Linked DNA regions of Drosophila melanogaster. The protein of the gene in region 2 interacts with the protein of the main gene of each other region in a pairwise test. Each region holds a gene or a part of one and is shown on either strand. Other genes may lie near its edges.

Region 1 (2,802 bases), on a different chromosome or scaffold from region 2:
TTTACGTTTTCATATATAGATTGAGTTACAATTGTTTATATTATTTGACAGTTGTTTAAAAATAGATTTCTAAAATGTGAAGGAATCTCACCTCCACATTTTCAAGATCCAGGGGCTGTTGCTTAAGGAAGTGCAGCGGATTGGCGTCCTCACTCAGGTTGTTGTACTCATCCTCTGATAAGGCGGGAAGACGATCGTTGTGGAAGTCGTCGTCCTCCTCCTCGATTTCGTGAGCCTGTATGGCGGACTTGGCTGTAGGATTGGATTTTAGTTTGGGAGTTGTGGCTGTGGGTGTGGCGGTGGTTGAGCTGGAAGAACCAGTTGAAGGATCTGAAGATATTGACTGCGGCAAGACCTTCACTGTGATGATGTCCTGGCTATTGTTTGATTTCGTTACATTCTGGCCAGAGCACATAATCCCACACAGGAGCAAAACTAAAGGGCAAGACATTTAAAATGAATAACATTATCACAAAGAACATTTCCCCATCGGTTGAAAAAAAAATATTTTGTTTTGCAATTTCCATGTGATATTTTATTTGATAAAATATTACAACCTAAACACTAGCGACTAACTTATAATAATGCCCCATCCCAGCCTAACAGCCTGCTCAATCCGACTTTTTCCTCTATAATTCCACAGGTTACAGCGTCGTCTTCTTGCCGTTGAGGATCATCTCGGTGAGTCCCAGTTGCCGGAATTGCTGCAGGCGCTCCACTTGATGGCAGAGGCGTTTCTGGAACTGCACCTCGCGGCTGAGTTCCTTAAGCTCGTCCACGCTGCAATCGGGATTGCAGCTGCCCATCTTCTTGGCGATTAGTTGGGAGGTAAGCACTATCTTGGCCTTGGACAGCCGGAGATAGGAAAAGTCGGCGCTGGCCCGCCTTAGTTCTTGGCGGTACAAGAAGAGTTGGTACGGGAAATTCACGGTGGCGGACTTGCGGCGGAGCTTCTTTAGAGCCCGCTTCTTTTGTTTCTTGAGCGGATCGTGGGTCTTCACCTTGTGTGGTTTGTCGGAATGTTTCTTTCCCGACTTGCGACTGGATTTCTCTGATTTGTGGCTGCGCTTGTGCTGGTCAATCATGGTGTGTTGCGGGTTGTAAGTCTCAGGAGTGAATGATGCCCCGACCAGGGGGTGAGGTCCTTTTAAAGGATCCGGTGGGCAGGTAGATCCTCCGCACAGGTATATTTGGTCCAGGTAATTAGCGGGTGCCAGTCACGCGCTTGCATGCCGTAAACCAAAAACTGTTAACAGGCTTTTCATTCGGGTTTTCTAAGGGATCCGGGTCGCCGGGAATTTCCCCGTCTCGTTTATGGCTTTATGACTAGCAAGATATCCGCGCACCCGGCTTAATCCTCAATTATGACAGCCAACTTAGCGCCGTTCGCACAGATCCTCGGGGTTTTGTGGCGATTTTTCCAGTCAAACTCAGCAGGGGATACCCGTATATCCTTCGTGGAATTCTCCAAAACCATGGATAGTTCTAGAAGCACATTCGATGGAAATTGGCAAGAAGACGACCCTGTCCCCCTAGAAATTTCTTGCTAACGCCTGGTTTTCCTGAAGGCAAGAGCTGCCTTTGGATCTGTTTTCACTTCACTAAGTTACATTCACATTTCTAGCTGTTACCAAAAAATCCTTTACACCTAACCCACATCGTATACCACAATTTTCGCATGGAACGCACCTCCGCAACTAAAGCTCCAAGATGTCTTCATGTTTCGTGCTTAATAATAATACTGAAACCACTTTTGGCATGCGATTTCTATTTTATAGCTGAGAAGGCAAAGTTTTTGGTTTGAGAAATTTCACTTGAATGGGAACAATGCGAAGTTCTACTATCAGAAATTTGCATATTAATTTCTCAATAGTCTGGCTCTACTTTTCTCTTTTCTGGTATTCTATGCAAATTTCGCTTCGCCATCTCTTGGCCCTACAAATTTAAAAGCCGATGTCGTCATTGATTGAGTCTCTTGTCTAAGGTGGTGGTCAAGGTAGTGGAAGGGGGGAATATCGAATAAATAATGATGATGCGCCACTTTTTCGGTTTATTTTGCATGCATTTTATGATTTTCGGTTCGAGAGATATTCTTTCGCCTCAGTGCCCAACAGAAGTTGTAAGGGTCCTCATATCTCTCTACTGCTCCATCTTTTCTACACAAAGAAAAATAAGTCATAGATTTGCGTATAAAGAAATAATAATACCAAATTATTTACCAAAAATAGAATTGAAAATCAGAAATTTAAAAGCAAAGGTATAGTAATAATGATGGTACAATTCAACTCGTTTCTTAATAAATACATTTTTGCTTAATTTTTTTTTCAGAACTGTTCTTTCGAACATGATTGTAAGATAGCGATTTTTCTTTTCAGTGTGGTCAGCCGGAATTAGCCAAGACCATTGAAAAGTCATCGATGGGTCACTGCATCCATTTAAAGTTCAGTTTATTTATCTAGCTGCCAGACGGGGAGCCATGGCATTTCCATTTGACTTGGCTCCGGCTGCCTTGCATAACGTTTCCTTCAATGTCCTTCATCTCTTGCGGTTTGCGTTTGTCATTAGACGACGTCTAGACCGAGATTCAGTCAGCCAGTGCCAGACATCGATCTGCGGCGATTGCCCCAAGAAGTTGGCTACACAAACTTGGCCATAGGGAAATGGTCGAAATTGGCAACGATTTCTTTGGGAATGAATTTACTCTTGGTTAAGCAGGGCGAATAAACAATTTTTTTTGGCAAATATATTTTTTGTATTTTTGTCAATAAGTTTTTGGCTGAAGTTCACAAAATTATGTTTAAA
Region 2 (7,593 bases):
CGTCAGTTTAACGATCGCAGTGCGGTCCAGAGACATGTAACCACAATGCACAAGGTGAAGAACAAGCTCACAGACTACATATCCGAGACGAACGAGTTTCAAGCTGTGGCCTAGAATAGTCCCTGGACATGTTTTACCAATACACCGCAGATTGGACCACCATGTTTTACACCTGAAGAGACCAACTTTGATTGATCTGAATATTTTACAACTTTATTCGCGAACCTAGAGTGCTCACAACAGTTGGCACCAAAAATCATCAACATGATAGCGTTAAAACATTTAGAAACATGCAGCATTAAACAGTTTAGCAAACAAATACAAATCGGAACATTTGGAACAGCTCTGTAACAAGATACATATAGCTAGACGTACATTTTACAATATCGTTTAATAAATACCACATAAGACGATGTACAATTTTATAGGCAAATATACGTATTTTTAATAAACTCAACTGCTCTACGAATACTTTAAACTTAAGCTAATCGCCAAAAACGGATTCAAAATGCGCCTAAGAGAAAACGAACGATCGTGCCTGCCATTCGAATGCCAAATGCAATGAATAATATTTTCTTGTATAATCGGAAGCGCTTTTCAAATGAGATTACCAAGGGAAACAAGCCCGCAACGACATCCTTAGAGGTCGAAACCGTTTAACATTCCTGGTTAATGCGTTATAAAGCCAATAACAATCCAATATCACGCTATCCTAATAATTGGAACAAATTATTCCATAATATCCAGTAAGGTCCTAACTCTTGCGGCCCTTCTGCCACTGCTAGTCGGAGTTTGTAAGCGAGCTGCGCTGCGATTCGAGTGTATTTGAGTCGTGCCGCTGGCGCAGAACTCGCGTCTGGCTGGCTGGTAACTTGGAGAAGTCCTTCATTACGTTCTTGTACGTCTCATCTTCGCCATTGTACTCGTCGTTGGGTCCAATCTCGTCATTCAGTTGTGTCAATCGGAGTCTGAAACAAGAATGGTTATGTATCTGCCGGATTGAAGCTCTGCTTTCTTACTCACAGCGTTACAATGTCTGCGTTTTCCTGGTCCACTGCAATGTCCAGAGCCTTCTTTCCGTCACTGGAGGAGAGGTCGTATGCAGCTTTATGCTTCAACAGCAAATACACTTGGGCGATGTGACCCTTGGCCGTTGATATGTGCAGGGCGCTGTAGCCCATCTCGTCCACAGCATCGATGGCGGCTCCGTTTAGTAGCAAAAACTCGCAGGCCATCACGGAGCCGGAAATGACGGCCTGGTGCAGAAACGATCGTTGCCGGTCTTGGGGATTTTTCCACATCTTGTCGGCACCCAATGCGAAGGCCATGCACATCACTGGTAGATTGTGCACCACCGAAGCCATGTACAGCAATTGATTGGCGTCTAGCTGGGAGAAGGGCAGTTCCTCTGGCGACTCCGCATCTGACTCGCCATCGGTGCTCTCTTGATCGCTGCCCAGAATGCCGGGAGTCTCTAGTCTGTCAAGAGCCAGGTCATCGCCGATCACAAGCAAATCGTCGCGTGAAATGCTTAGTGACATCGAGGGAATGTTGATGGATTCATCATCATCGTCATCTTCCAACTCGTCGCCGGTTTTGGCTGTGTTATAGATGCTCGGATCATCGCTCAACGTTTTTGGGATCGAGCGCTGCTTCTGCCTTCGTCGAAGTTTCTTCACCGCCCACTTTCGCGTGCCGCCCAGCGACAGAGTAGCTCGCTTAGCGATACCACTGCCTCCACTCTCGCCGTCCTCTACCACGCCGCCACTGTCTATGCTCAGCACTTCGGCTGTCTCGCTGGCCAGCAGCTCCTGCGGTTTGGGCATACCGCAGACGAACCGCCGCTCCACGTACTTCGCCTTGATCCAAGCCTCGCGCACTCCGATCTCGCACTGCTCCGTGGGCTTTTTGAGCCCACAATCATCGCCGATGCGTGCCTCATAGATGCGGTTAACCACCTCGTTGCCGAGCTCCATCATTACCTTCACGTTCTCCGACTCCCAGGCATCCAGCGTCAGGGAACGCACCTTGCTGTAGTGCACACCCAGGCTTCTGTGCACTCCGGAGCACTCGATGCACAGGGTGATGCCCAAGTTAATGGAGGCCCAGCGTGGTTCGGGGCTCCTGCAATCGCAACAATATGCGTTGCCCGGTATCTTCAGGAACTCTTCCCAGTGGCTGAGAAATGGGAAATAATTCATTATTATAAAACTGGATAATACGGGTGATTCAAACATACATTCTACGCTTTGCGGGCAGCGAATTATTGGGTGCGTTCGTCGATTGTGGTCGCGAGTGATGCGTGGAGTCATGCTGGATGGCAGCACCGATGCTGTGCTGTAGCGCGGAAATCCACAGGGAAAGCATGTCAGCGGAGTCAGCCTGCAGGATGTGAGATCTAAAAAAAAAGGGGAACAAATGAATTCCTTTGTCTGACAAATGACAAATCAAACACGAAATACTCACTTGGTCGGCGAGATGACCTCGAAGCAGAAACGGCGGTCACCCTCGTTTACCGGGCGCACGCTGCAGATGCGCAGATCCTCCTCCATGACCGAGAACGAGTCCTCGTTGCTGCGTTTTCTGCAATGCGAATCCAAATCACTTCAGCGTACGGCCACAACACATCACATTACACCACACAACAAAAACATCACAAAAATCAAAAGTTGCAAACGAAAAGAAGACGATTGATTAACTAAGCAAGCAGATGGGATGGCATACGTATGTATCTGGATGGACTACGTGAATAGCAGTTGTAAGGGAGCGTCCACTCACCTATATACGAGCTGGTTGTCGCTGAGGTAGAACCATCGTCGGCACCAGGTCTTGAAGCCCTTGGACTTCTTCTTGAATAGGTAGCCCTCGATCTTGTTGGACGTGCTATTGGTGTTCGAGTCGCAGTAGCGATTAACGCTCATATGGCGATTCTGCATGGCCTTCTCCAGCTGCTGATAGTCACCGCGCAAAGCGTTCAAATCCTCGCTGATATTCTTAAAGAACTCGTCGAAGTCGTTGCACAGATCGAAGCCCTGGTGGTAATAGGTCACGCACGCCTGATAGTAATCCAACAGCTGCCGAAAAAAAAGAGCAGAGGAGACCAACATGAAAACGTGCCAAATGCAAAGAATAACGGCTATTGTTCTCCAGCCTTTACCGACAGCGGCAATCCAGCTCAGCGCACTCCCGATAGACAACTGAGCGAATTGGCCAGCGCACCGACTGACTCAACATGCTGATCATTGGTTTTAGATATGAAACCCATACATGCTCATGTTGATATCACAACAGTGACGTCATAGCAATAACAAACCACTGAAAGTTATTTACTTAGTGGAAGTTGAGCACTTCATTCATGGCATTCATAGCAATCGAACGCCGATAAGCAATACTTTATTGGCAAGCAATACTTGCCCTTTCCTTACCGTGGATAGTATTGAGGGGACCTTGCGAGCCTGCGCTAGCGTTATATAGTTGACATAATCCAGAGCGGTGTGTTGGAAGCACGATTTCGAGGCAGAAAGGATATTGGCAGCCTCCTGCATCTCCTGCGGTCGGTTTTTGCTGGCCTGCAATGCAGAAATCAAGGATAAGGCTATCATATCACCTTTACTGCATGTCCAGCTTACCTGAGCGTTTTTAATCAGCGCATTGTCATAGCCTTCGGAAACCTTGAGAAAATGTCCCTTATAGTCCTTCACCTGGTTAATGTCGTCCTTCACGAACACACTGAGATTTTTAAGCACCGTGCGGCTAGCCTGATCCAAGAGTATGGTGTGGAACTTGTTCATCTCCTGGAAAACAAACAGCACACAAGGTTTATATAGCCCATATAGGATGTCACTGAAGCGATTACCTGGAAGCAGTGAATCAGCTTGCCCAGCGCATTGTGCGCGTTCTTATTGTCGAGAAAGTGCTGTTGTAGATCCCACAGGGACATGGCAAAGGCGCTAAAAAGTCGAGAATATGGCGAATCGATGCCAATGAATATGAATGAGCTAGGATAATGGCGCAGTGTGTTGTTTACCTCTGGTTCTTGACATACTCCTTGCCCGAGTCCACGGCCACATTGCACAGCTTGATGATTTTCTCCAAGCGCTGCTCCAAGTGCTCGATGTCGCTCTCCTCCTTGGAAACAAATTGTCTGCGGGGCGAGAAGCACAAAAAAAAAAACAAATCGAAAACGTTAGCACAATATCGTCGAGATGTAAACAAAAGATGGGCATCGGCTTGCGAGTGAGCTGGTGATTAAAATCGTCTTTGACTGGCTGAGCAGAGTAAACATAATCAACCAGCTTAATCAAAGAAGTTATCGCGGGGGCAGCGGATGATCCGACGCTCTCACTCTGCCTCTGTTTATGTTGACACTTTTAATTTATGCGGACTTATTAAAGCGCTGTTTGCTCTTCCAATTGAACACGAGTCGCCACCAAGTGAAGAAGGAGGAGGATACCCCATCTCTGGGGACAAGTTTTTGTATCACTCTGTTGCGTCTTCTTCGGGTTTTTCTCGTCTTTTTCCCCTGTGTCATCCATCGATTTGTCGGGCATTGCTTTTGTTTTAACTTTGTGTTTATTTTCTTGGACGTACTCGTTCCAGAGGCTAGCTACATGGTAATTTCGAATGGAGGTCTGTCTATTTCAGCAGTCAATTCATTCTGAGAGTGGCTTTGAAAAGTCGTATTCCGTGATAATATTGCTATCATACACAGTTTTCATTTTAAACTAATGGCTTTCGAAAGCTTCATATATCTTCAAATATGTGTTCGTCATTCAAACGATTGAGCCAAATGCACAATGAGTTGAAGTTTTTGATAAAAAATAAATCGTTTAATTCTACTTAAAACTGGAAACTAGTTTAAGCTAGTTTAAAAAAATGCATAACATTGATACATTTTACTATGGTTGCGATAATATCTGCCTAGTTCTGAAGCAATAGAAATGTCCTACTTTACAGATCCTTAGATTTCTTATTTTTTATATGCATGGCAGAAAAGTTCACATATGATTCACATAATTTATTGTAGTGTACTTCGGTTTCGAAACACCAAGGTCAAGTTGGCACTTCCACAAATGATAAAAGAACCGAAGTGCAGGAGAATCCAAGATAGTCTTGATTTCCTGTTTTCTTTCAAGTGAAGCTGCTGCAGGTGCGAAAAAGTGGGGAAGATGTGATGGGGCTGCTGGGCAAACAAGTTATCGCCGCGTTTGTGCACCGTTTTACGAGGGAAAGCTTTTGTCTTTGGACACGATTAGTGGAGAAGCGGCAATTTGGGTGAAATCTTATCAATCAGCGGCGGGCATTGAAGCGTTCGCGGACGGAGACGAGAGCATCGGCAATTTAATTGCGGAAATAAAGGGGCAGGCAGGCACATTCCACACTGCTGACGGGACAAAGTTTGTTCGATGGATGATTAAGCCGCGTTTTCAGGTGGAGCAGGTGGGGCGGTGTTGGGCTGTATCTGGTTTTGGATAGTAACCAGTCACGCTACATGGAGCAATTCGAATCTCACGCCAAATGCGGCTCAGGATGGGCACACAGTGGGGGCGGGGCTGCAGCTTATATGCACCTGAATCTGGGAGAATCCTTCAGGCACTCCTCGAACTCGATGGTGGCGCGCATTTTGGCCACCACGCAAGCAGCACCTAGACTGCACTGCTGGCTATTTCGCTACGCTAATTGAGGCCCGTGAATCTTTGTTGGCCTGTTGCTGCTGCTCTGCTTTGCTTTGCTTTCCTTGCTGAAGTGGGGATTTCGATGCGCGATTTTCGAGGGCGGCTCTGGGAGAAGCTAATTGCGGGCAGCAGGAGATATGGTGATTAGTCGCATCCTTGGCAATCGACGGCTACACACGTTGAGCACTGGCCCTAATTAGCGAAACTCGCCAATTTACGCGATTCGGGGCCGAATTTACCAAATTTACACAGCGCGCAGAGACAACAAATTAAAACGTCTCACTTTCTACTAGAGCAGATCGGTGTGCCCGCACTCGCAGCGAAAACAAATCTAGCAGCGCGAATGGTCACACACTTTGGCGGGCTTATTTGCTTTTGCTCATATCTTTTAAAATTTTAAATGTATTGAATGCTTAGTGTTTTCCTTGTGCTGATTTTCGTTTTAAAACTCGATTAGTTACGAAGATTTCAATTCAAAGGCATAAAACAACGCACATTGACATTGTCAGCACGGTTTATCAGTGTTGGAAACTTTTGTAGCTAAGAAGAAGCTAATTAGGAACTTAAATTCCCTAAAAGAAGATACAGCCCAAAAAAGATTTGGGTTCTAGCCATAATCAATGTAGATGTATTTAAAGTACAAACGATGACAATTTTAAACACCAAAACAAGCAAATCCGTTTCAAGCTACCGCCAGCCAAGTCAAATCTAGCTACAAAACAGATCAGCTGACAGCACCGCTGGATTTTAGGGTGCCCGCCTTGTGCGACAAGAATCCGCGGCCAGTGCTGCACAAGTGCCATTTTTCATTTCATTGTTCTGTTCTCTTTCTGCTGGTGCTGTTTTGGTTTAAGTGCAATTATCCACACAAGTACGCACCGAAAACCGATGCACCTGCACCGTGCACCAAGTGTGGGAGTGCCCAGTGCCAGTTTCATTTATAAAACTATGAGTTTCGCACGGCAACCAGCGCAGCTGACCGACTGACCGATCAGAGTCTCACGTCCCCCCTCGCCTCATGTGTTTACCCCTTGTCCAGCGTTCTATTTGCGTTTCGTGTCCGCTTTAAATCGCCTCATTTGCATACAACTCGACGGCTTTACGTCACAACTCTTTAAAATCGGCGAAGTAGAGGAGGAGGAGTGAAACACGCCCATTCCCGGAGGAAGCATTAGACCGACCTGTTTGGAATCCAGAATGTGGAAGTGCCACAAGTGCGGCAAACCCGTTTACTTCGGTAATGCACCCACACACGAGCGCATTGCGATCCGTAAATAACTTGTAAATTATATTTATTTATGCCCCGCACAGCGGAACGTAAACAATCGATCGGCTACGATTGGCATCCGGAATGTTTGCGCTGCGAGGAATGCGGCAAACGCTTAAATCCCGGCCAGCATGCTGAGGTAGGAGGATCACCTGTTAGTTAGCCGATCATGTGATCTATATAAAGCCTTTTGTTTTCCTTTCAGCACAAAAGTGTGCCCTACTGCCATGTGCCCTGCTATGGCGCCCTGTTTGGACCCCAGTTGTTTGGCCACGGCACCCGGGTGGAATCGCACAAAAGCTATGGGGTGAAGGGAGCCCAGAAGCCAACCGGAGCTCAGGCCAATGGCCCGCCACTCCCACGTGATCACCTGGAGTCCAAACTTAAGGTGCAGAACGCAATACCCAGACATATCAATATCTCATGACTCACCAAATTCCCTTTTAATGGGCAGGTCTACAACCAATTCTACGACAACAAAAGCCTGGAGATACGTAGTCGTGAGGTCAACAACCGGTTGGTGCTGGAAGGCGCGCTTAGAGTTTACTGGGGCGTGCAGGGAGTGATTCATCTCAAGGAGGACGATGATCAGCGCATCTTAGTGCGCAAAAGGAACTCTTGCCGTGTGTCCAAGGCTGCCAATGTAAGCTG

Evidence for each region. The genes of interacting proteins can lie anywhere in the genome.
Region 1: the proteins of CenB1A (region 2) and SNCF interact in a two-hybrid assay, tested with the Drosophila melanogaster proteins (one large-scale study listed by BioGRID).

Annotation. Positions count from the first base shown.
Region 1 is NT_037436.4:13,376,905-13,379,706, reverse strand, and holds SNCF (SoxNeuro Co-Factor), read right to left. Parts: upstream 1,125-2,802; 5' UTR 1,086-1,124; coding exon 645-1,085; 3' UTR 517-644; downstream 1-516. Other genes in the region: CG14111 (uncharacterized protein), read right to left, coding at 92-435, 1,690-1,720.
Region 2 is NT_033777.3:23,116,818-23,124,410, reverse strand, and holds CenB1A (centaurin beta 1A), read right to left. Parts: upstream 6,012-7,593; 5' UTR 5,623-6,011; coding exon 5,570-5,622; intron 4,145-5,569; coding exon 4,028-4,144; intron 3,951-4,027; coding exon 3,857-3,950; intron 3,795-3,856; coding exon 3,630-3,794; intron 3,570-3,629; coding exon 3,426-3,569; intron 3,200-3,425; exon of another isoform or gene 3,158-3,199; intron 3,075-3,157; coding exon 2,779-3,074; intron 2,605-2,778; coding exon of another isoform or gene 2,584-2,604; coding exon 2,467-2,583; intron 2,399-2,466; coding exon 2,240-2,398; intron 2,179-2,239; coding exon 1,024-2,178; intron 969-1,023; coding exon 782-968; 3' UTR 194-781; downstream 1-193. Other genes in the region: CG31365 (uncharacterized protein), read left to right, coding at 1-114; Rassf (Ras association family member), read left to right, coding at 6,873-6,912, 6,987-7,081, 7,148-7,330, 7,397-7,585.